Oryzias latipes: one gene and its partners. The protein of the gene in region 2 interacts with the protein of the main gene of each other region in a pairwise test. Links are inferred from orthologs where the notes say so. Each region holds a gene or a part of one and is shown on either strand. Other genes may lie near its edges. The genes, in order: g2e3, wdr6 and ptpn3.

The links.
Region 1: the proteins of wdr6 (region 2) and g2e3 interact in a two-hybrid assay, tested with the Homo sapiens proteins (2 studies listed by BioGRID and IntAct). The two-hybrid records come from large-scale screens. The link is inferred for Oryzias latipes from reciprocal best matches to the Homo sapiens genes WDR6 and G2E3.
Region 3: the proteins of wdr6 (region 2) and ptpn3 interact in binary tests that used the Homo sapiens proteins (3 or more experiments, as listed by UniProt). The two-hybrid records come from large-scale screens. The link is inferred for Oryzias latipes from reciprocal best matches to the Homo sapiens genes WDR6 and PTPN3.

Annotation. Positions count from the first base shown.
Region 1 is NC_019880.2:2,556,891-2,560,651, forward strand, and holds the start of g2e3 (G2/M phase-specific E3 ubiquitin-protein ligase), read left to right. Parts: upstream 1-1,172; 5' UTR 1,173-2,661; intron 2,662-3,416; 5' UTR 3,417-3,433; coding exon 3,434-3,482; intron 3,483-3,761. Other genes in the region: EH domain-containing protein 4, read right to left, coding at 508-737. UniProt on the Homo sapiens protein: E3 ubiquitin-protein ligase which accepts ubiquitin from an E2 ubiquitin-conjugating enzyme in the form of a thioester and then directly transfers the ubiquitin to targeted substrates. Essential in early embryonic development to prevent apoptotic death.
Region 2 is NC_019865.2:6,740,182-6,742,959, forward strand, and holds the end of wdr6 (WD repeat-containing protein 6), read left to right. Parts: intron 1-73; coding exon 74-190; intron 191-1,129; coding exon 1,130-2,174; 3' UTR 2,175-2,234; downstream 2,235-2,778. UniProt on the Homo sapiens protein: Together with methyltransferase FTSJ1, methylates the 2'-O-ribose of nucleotides at position 34 of the tRNA anticodon loop of substrate tRNAs. Required for the correct positioning of the substrate tRNA for methylation.
Region 3 is NC_019874.2:17,810,149-17,812,916, forward strand, and holds part of ptpn3 (tyrosine-protein phosphatase non-receptor type 3), read right to left. Parts: intron 2,126-2,768; coding exon 1,997-2,125; intron 242-1,996; coding exon 99-241; intron 1-98.

The DNA of each region.
Region 1 (3,761 bases), on a different chromosome or scaffold from region 2:
TTATGGTATTTTTGTTGAATCACAAATATTTGTAATATTGTTAGATGTAAAATTGGACTTCAAAAGAGCTGTGGTGTAAACCGGATGAGATAAGATGTGTGAGGGTTTGTTGACCCAAAAAAGTGATTGAAAGTAGATAAATGGAGCAGCCATGAGGTCATGCTGTGGTTCCTGTGAGAACTGCAGGCCACATGAGGAAAGCAGACAAGGTGATGTCATGTTATTTCAACACCACAGAACTCTGGCACAGAGCATGCCAGGAATAGTCCTATGGTGCAGGGACACACATGTTCATGCAGCTACAGTGACGACATAGTCATGACCTTCATGTCTCTGACCCCAAACCTGATCTCAATCAGCTGATAAATGCGTTTAGCCTTGACCTAGAATTTTACTCCCAACTAAAAATTCTAAAAGGTCACCAGGCTCTCCAAAGGTCAGTGATTCTGCAAGAACACTGGCTCTCTACTCGGACTTGTTGATTTGGCCTAGTTGGAGAGGTCCTACCTGATGAAGGTGGTCTTCCCGGTGGAGTACTGGCCCACCAGCAGCACCATGGGCTTGCTCTGGAAGTCCGCGGGCTCCAACGCCGGCGAGTGGAAGTCATGGAAGAGGTATGTCTCCTCCAGCGGCAGCAGCTTCTTGCTGTAGAGCGTCTGCAGCCCCTCCGTCACGGTCTGGTACATCTCTCCCTCCTTGTTGTGGCTGCCGTGCTCCTGCTTCACCCAGCTGAACATTGTGACGCCGCGCGCTCCAGAGCTCGAGCCCAACTTCCCGTTTTTCTCGGCGTGTACGCGTGCGCCCGTGTGGGATGGCTGACTCCGCGCGCTCTGAGTCTGGCCGTCGTCGCTGAGGTGGTGTACCTGCGGGCACCGCCCTTCCCGGTGACGCTGCGCTTCCTCCGCAGTCAGTCACCACCGGCGCGCCCCGCGGGAGCAGTCCACGGCCACTGCCGCGCCCAGGGCCCCGGGCTGCAGGTCTGCGGGAGCCGAAGGCGCTCCTGGATCAGAACCGCGTCGTTCTGACCGGAGATCATCTGCGCGCATCCCCGGCAGCTGCGCAGCAGATGTCATCCATGACGGTCAGCTGATGCTGCGACGCGGATGTTTGCAGTGAACAAACAAACCCAAACTGGACCAAAGCACCCGCTTCAAGCAGAACCAAACCACGAGAACAAACAGAATTGAATTCTATTACATTCCGGTGTGAATGCGCGTCTAAGCCGATTTTCAGAGCTTTCTTTTGGACTTTGAGCTGACTAAACTCTGCAGGAGCAACACCTCAGTCAGAACAGAACTCACCTGGTTCGGATTAACTATTCTCCTGATGATTTATAATTTCAATTTAGGAAAAGACCAGAAAATCCAACAGATTTGACAACAAGAGGAGAAAACTTCCCTCAATTTATTTAGAAAAATACACAAATTCCCCAGAATTTTACCCATATGAATAAAGTCTTTGTAAACGGACTGTGTTCTTTCATTGAAATGTTCTCTGATGGTTTCTCATTAGTGTGACGGAAGTTCACGTTTTTTTAGAAATCACACACAATTTCTATTGCTTCTAAATATATTAACACATATTTGCTTTGTTTTTTGTTGTTGTTTTTAAACACAATCTGACACCTACCTGTTGCTTTGGAATTTTCTTGACACCCCAAGGACGTTTTTCTCTTTGTCGTGGGCAGATGGCGCCACCTACAGTTAAGAAGCGTCTGTTGGAATTTTAGGAGCCTATTTACACTTTGTTTCTATGTCAACACGCTTTTAACAGAACAATACATGTGTTGTAACCTGAAGAGTAAAAAACAAACAAACAACAACACTCTATATAGGCCTATAAGTGCAATCTAATGTTTAACTAGCTATTTTTATTTAGTTTGATTTAACAGTGCAAATTGTTCACAAGCTTTTCCACAGATAACCTTCTTCCAAGAAATCCATTAAATGCAATCAAACACAAAGCATAAATTTTTTTAAATAATTTTTTAAACGGTTTATTACTTTAAAAAACTGTGTTACATCTATTTGTAGTCAAGACTCTAAAAAACGTTTAAACTTTAAATTGGAATGGAAACATGTAGCCTAAATAAGCTTTAAACTTGTGAGACAAGGTGACTAAATGAGGTTAATGTGTTTTTATGTGGAGCAAAAGTAAAAAAGTTCTTACATATTTTGCATGAAATAAAGCGTAGGTCTATTTATACTGCATGTGTAAAATTGTCTCTTGTTTGTCTCTTGTTGTAAAATTGTCTATTGTCTCAAGCTTTATTCTTGTACTTTTTGTATTAATCGATAGTTCAACTATTCTGCTTTGGTTGACAAATAAATGCCTTTTAAAATAATGTTGTTGTTTTTTTGTTTGTTTTGGTTCATTTCCGTTTTTTAATCTTCCCATTTTTTCCCATAACTTTACTTTATTAATCTAAATAAGTAAGAGATTATGTACACTCTTTGGTTAGACCGCCCTCATGTGTCGGTGCCATTGAATAGCCGGGAAACGTCACTTCCGTTTGGGGTACGAGAAACGGAAGTGAGGTTCTTTTGTTTTGAAAGAGGAAAATTCAAAATCGGACGTCGTTAAAGTAAACACAAAAATGAACGGACTACCTTTATTTTACTTGAAATGAGCAGCGAGTGATTTCTTCGACAATAGATGTAAGTAGGTTGGAGAAACAAACTTTTTTCCGGGTTTTCTTTTGTTCTTTTTCGATATTTGACATTCAAACTCGCATGTTTTTGGAATTTAGTAAGAACGCCATGAGTGGTGCTCTGTTAAAGTTATATATAAAAACACGATTTTAACAGTTTAAATTTGTGTCAGCATATTCAACACAACACATTTATATCACATAGTAAAGAAAAACTGTGAGGCTAAGGCTGAAAAAACAAACAAACAATATTTAAACAGGTTTGACGATCAGGTTAAACTTAAATTAGCATAATAGAAAGCTGTCATTGTGTATCCTAAAAAAAAAAAAAAAACAGAACAGAAGTAATAAAATGAACAAATAAATGTGTTAATATTTCAAAAATAAAAAGCATAATATCATAAGATAAGGTTATTTTTAAAGTTTTGTTGGTAAAGTATAATAAAACTAAACCATATGTGCAGCAGTAAGAAATAATTTATTATTATGTATTTTTTCAAACAAAAACTGTACAATTTTAGGTAAGAATTTACAATATGATTGTTGAAATTCACAGTTTTTGCATTAAATTCCTAACTTTTTCTTTTGCCAGAAGTTTCTCTTAATCAGATAAAATTGACGATGGATTAAAAAAAAAGAACATTAAGTTTAAACAAATGATGCTTTTAAAACTGTGAGTCAAATGTGAATCCGTTCAGTATTTGGTCGGTGATTCCAGCTGTTGTTTCTGCTCAGTCATGTGATCCGTGTCCTTTTCCTCCAACAGACTGAGTTGGTTTGAGGATGAGGAAGAAGACGAGGGGGCCGAAGGCGACCACTGTCCTGCAGGACTGTGAGTGACACACTTAAAAAAACTAACAAAAAAACTTTATTTATACAGACGAGGCCTATCAAGACCGCATTCTTCTTTTTGAGGATAATCTGTTCATGCCCACACAATTCATGTCTGCCAGATTTGTTTGTAGGATTTGCATTGATTTAATCTTTAAATTGACATAACAACTGCAACGTTTTTAGTTTGGGTTCAGCCGATGAATAATGAATAAAGCTCATTTTTAAGAATACTGCAGACATGATTATGAGTGAAATCTAAATTCCCCCAAATTAAATG
Region 2 (2,778 bases):
CAGGACTGGAAACGTATATTGCAATTTAAAAAGTTAAAATATATTTGAGATTTACTCTTGTGTGCTTTTGCAGATTGTTTTCAGTAACTGAGTCAAAGAATCATATTGAGCTGCTGTGGGAGACGTGTCATCACCAGCGCTGTGTGCTCAGTGTCGCCACCTGCAGCCTGGAAGCTGTCAAAAATGACAGGTGAGTGGAAGCTTTTACAATTTTATACAACCTTGTATTTTGTTTTTGTTTTTTATAATTAATTCTATGACTCAATGGGTAATTATTATAGAAAAAGCTACTGTTTCCATTTACATAGCAAAGTTAGTTATTAAGTGGTAGTGAGTTGTGAAAATTATTGATTCATTATTAAATGACTCCAATACCTAGGAAGGTTTTTTTTTTCTTCCACAGAATGAATGAAATGTAAAGTGAAGAGATTAAAATTAGTGCTGGTTCTTTTAGTCCTCTGTGGGATTCTTGTGTTTGGGCTTCAGGTGTGAACACAAAATATCATGGCAATAAAACTCTTTTAGCTGTTATGAATCAAAAAAGACAATGAAGAATTCACGATGAAGTTGTTGATGTTGTTGATGATGATGTTTATTCAACCGTTTGTGAGTTTTGTCTCTGTTTTGTATTTTATTTTTTTATGAGTTGTAAAGTTTTGAGTTTGAAAATAGTTTGAAAATACAAATAAAAAAAAACTATTTTGGGAATAAAATACTGAAACAAATCGTCAAACCAGATGTTTTCCCTTGTTTAGTGGATTAAAATGTTTGAATAAAATATTGATTAGATATAAGTTAACAGTTTTTTTATTAGAAACATTTGACAAAGGATGAACCTTTTTTGTTTGCTTTTTTCCTACTGGTAGCTGAAAATAACAGTTTTTCATCATCAACAATTCTAATGAATAAAGTGTTTATAAATCTTTTGTAACAATATCTGGTTTTACATCGTTCAAAACTTGAGCTTTTTTATTTTTTCAATGACTTAAGAAGAAAACATTGCATTAATTCTAATGGTAAATTGTTGAATGTATTGTTTATATCAAAGTACTGATGTTTGAAGTCTGTATGACAGTTGATAACAAATGCGTACAGAGTTTCTCTTTGTCACGCCAATCTTCTCTCACAGGTACAAACTGCTGTTCAGTGCCGCCACAGATGGGAAAATTGCTGTTTGGCATTTAACTGGAGTTCTATCAACTGATATTTCAAGTGGTGCTACAAATCCACCAGCTCCCTGCCTCGATATTCCCGCCCACCAGAGTGGCGTCAACTCATTGGTTGTTTGGGTGGAGAAACTGGGAAAAGAAGGAGGCAGTTGCCAGGTAACTGTTGCTAGTGGAGGGGATGATGGACAGCTGACAGTGTCCACAATTAGGGTGCAGTTCCCAGGAAATGGGAAGGCTGGGGGCAGCAGAGTGTTTTCTGAGATTTCTCATTGCCAAAGCTCAGTAGAAGAACTCCAAATAGACCACAACCAGCTTCAGCTTCATCTCCTGACTCAACGCCGGATCCCACTGGCTCACGCCGCTCCTCTGACCTCCCTGAAGCTTTTGAGGACAGGCCTGCTGGTTTCCACTTCCTCAGATCAGAGGGTTTGCCTTTGGAAGGTCAGCGATGTCGGTATCAGCCACAGTGGGGCGCTGTGCTCCCACGTTGCAGATGCTGCAGCCATGGCAGTGTGGGAGGGGGAGAAAGAAGATGCAATTAGTGCGACGGGATCCGAGTCTGAGCTTGTAAATGCACTTAGTAGAAAAGAAGAGGGCCAGATGCAGCCGGAGACAAAGACGGAGAGAACTGAGGGTGGGTGGATTAGCGACGGTGAGGAAGCAGCTGGCGAACAGGAACTTGGACAACCTGCTGTAGCAGTGAAGGAGACAATCAACCCAGTTTGCAAGAATGCTGTTGACAAGGAAGAGCCCTCGACACATCACTCAAGATTAAAAACTCTGACTGACAGCTCAGGTGAAACGGTTAATGGAACAAACACTAAACGGTGCTTGAAGGTTTCCCCTGAGAGCCAAACAGGGATCATCAAAGAGGGATGGGTGCTGGTCTGCGGGCAAGGACTTCAGCTCCTGCAGGTGAGAAGTTTAGCGATGGATGGATGGAGAGAGAACCGGGATAAGAGTAACCGCAGCATCAAAGTGACTCTTCAAAAACAGCCAACATAATTGGACTATATGTTTTTTATAAAAATTAATTTGAATAAAGTGTCTCAATCTGTAAACTTTCATGACTTTGCTCTTCTTTGCCTTTGGAAGGCCGCCACAGCGAATCCCCCACTTCTTTTCCTCTGCATCCTCCTCACTCACACCAACCTCCCTCGTGTCCTCCTCATCTACATCCATGAACCTCCTCTGGTAACCTCAGCATCCCTTTACCTTCATCATCACGGTCCATCTCAATCTGCTTCCCTGCATTTATCTCCATAACATCTACCGTAAGCTGTTACTCTCATGCATTTTTTTGGATCCTTTCCATCCTCTTCACTCTCAAAGAGATCCTCACCATCTTCAGCTCTGCCTCTAAAACCACAGCATGGCTGCTCACACCACAGTCTTCTACACCTTTCCTTTCATTCTTGCTGACATTCCTTTATCACAGCTGAAACCTTCCTTTACCCAACCTTCTCACACATGCAACTTGTTCTGGACTATAAAAACTTAAAGTCCTCCACCTTCTTCAGCTCTGATCCCTGTAACCTCACTGTTCCACTTGATTCCTTCTCATGTACACAAAAAAGCGCTCGTGTTCTGTTTCTGAAAAATAAAAAGC
Region 3 (2,768 bases), on a different chromosome or scaffold from region 2:
TGATAATATAATTTCAAACACACATTACGTTTAACAAAAGTTGGCAGGAAGGACACTAGTGATTCTTTTCCAAATCAATCTTTTAAACGCCATGTTACCTGCAGTGGACCATTAGCGGCTCCTTGTCCCTCGTCTCTCTTACAGAGCTGACAAACTGCAGGAAGTCTGACGGGTCATCGGGCACGCCGTGGTCCGGCCACGCCACATACTGCAGGTGTGTGATCGCACGCTCATCACCCAACTGCAAATCAAACATGCAAATAAAAAAAGAGAAGCAGAAAGCCAGGATAGTTAAAGTGTTGCATAATCATTATGAATGTGTTACTGTTGGGTTAATTACCCACATGAGACACTGCAGCACTAAAGGCTTAAACACGGATGTTGTTTCACACATAGAAGGGCTGAAAACCAGGCAGGAGGTTGGAACAACAGAGCTAGACATCCATGCCATCAGTAGGTGACAGAGAGATTATGAAACCCAGAGATAAAAACAAAAGGAGAGAGAATGGAGGAAAAGACCGGAGTTTAAGGCTGCTGGGAGAATGGCTGACTTCAGAGTTTCTAACGGGCATGTAGCCTGTGACTCCATGCAGGGATTATCGCTCCATGAGAGGAACAGATGGGCCAGCGCGGCGGTATCTTTGTATGCATGTGCATGCGTTCATACTTCATGCCTCCTTGAGCATTCTCTGCTTCTTTACCTGTTCGGCATAGAGGCCGGGGCTTTTAATCTGATTACCTACCATGACACAGTTTAACAAATAAATAAAAAGTCCCAGACACCCTGACACACCTGCCCCCTATACACCTCCACACAGCGACACTTGACGCACACACACGTGCAGACAAAACCCAGCGGAAGTGACTGAATGCTGGATGTAGTTAATTTGCCAGGAGGGGCTGCTGCCTGCGGTGAGATCCGTTGTGTGGCATATGGTGTAAACATGCTACATGCCGTGGCAACATACAATGCAGAAAAGCAATGCATTGTGTGTCTGTGGTCTCGCCTTAAATGGACATGAAATCAGCTGGAAACTTTAATTGATTTCAAAATACTTAAACATAATAAAATAAACTGTAAACTGAGACAGATTTCAAAATAAATGACAAGAAAGTAATAATAATCAAAGCCGCGGACAGCGTTGTATGGCTTGTAGGAGCTACCTGCCCTTGCCACCCGCCAAGGTCTCTTACTCTTCCTCAGGTTGCAAAACCTCTCAAAACCCACTTCTACAGACTTGCATATCCACCCTAATTGATTTATGATTCTATTGTTTATTTTTTTTACTTTTAACTACTGTTTTATTCTTGTAACTGTTTTTTCTGATTGTTTGTACCTGTAAGGTGACTTTGGGTGCCCAGAATGGCGCCATAGAAATAAAATTCATTATTATTATTATTATTCTGCCACTCTGGTCAGAACTGCTTGTGACAAATTCATGAAATTATACTGTTGTTTTTTTTTCCTCAAAATAGCGATGTTTCTATTGGTTTTATCTCCACAGCAACCATTTTATGTTTGGGTCACCTGGGGGTGATGAACAGATCTATACAATTTTTAGAACAACCAGCAAAAGTAAACTTTTGGATTTCCTTGGCAACGGCGGTTTTTGTTAACCACGCCCACAATACTTGTATAGTCACATCGTATGTTTTATCATATTATCAGCTTGTGCCAGGGATTCATGCATTACATTTTCACAATATTTCAGTTAAAAAATGCACAATCTCTAGGAGGGGTTTAAATATGAAACTGGTACTAAAGGTGTTTTTCTATAGAAAATTCAAGATGGCGGCCTTTTTCTGAGGTCAAAGGTTAGCAAAACTTCAGTTGTGGTTATAGACATAACCTGATGGCATGTGGGTGAGTGTTTTGGAGAATAATTGAGCGTGTGGCAAGGGTCATATTTTTGCTCAAAGGCACACTAATGTATAGATATCGATCAGCTGCAGGTTCATTTAGGAGGCGACACATAATCTCATTGCTATAGCTTACCTGAGTGTGTTTCAGGGTGAACCGTCGTGTCACATAAGCCAGGTTACACTCCTCCGAGTGACACTCCACTGACATGTGCCCGTAATCCTTCGCTTTCGGTGGGTGTGGCCAGTACTGGTGGCACTTGGTCTGTGGAGCGTGTGGCGCAAACAACATATCACAGTATTGACGGTCTTCAGGATACAGTTTACTGCAGTCGCTTCACAGCAGCTCAGCTCAACTCAACTTGGAGCAGATCAACCCATATTTAACAACCTGAGGAACAAGACCTGTTCGTCAGATGCAGCACCGGGGTCTAGAGTCGTGATCTATACATTACAAATGAGAGTCTACCATGTCTTTATGGATGGAGCAAGGTGAATTATCAGAAAAAATGATCAATTAATGAGAACATCTGGTTACTAAGCAACAGGCAAGCTGAGGCACAGACATTCAGCAAGACCTTGGTATCTTGCAGCCTCCGTAAGGATGCATTTATACCAATAAAACATTTTTTCCTCATTGGAATCCAGCTCTCACACACTGAAACCGTGTAATTACTGACACAAGAGCTAATCAATCATTTTTGTGTGCAAACATCCCCAGTGAAACTCCTAATTACTATAATCTTGTATCAAGTCAAACATGACGTATCGTAATAATGCGCAGGTCATGCTGCAGTAATCAGTTACTGCGCCGCTGAAATCGAGCTGAGCGAGTTCAAGTGTTTCCCTTATTGTTTACTCATTTCCCATCCTTAAAAATAAACTTTTTTTTTTTTTTGCTGTTTCCA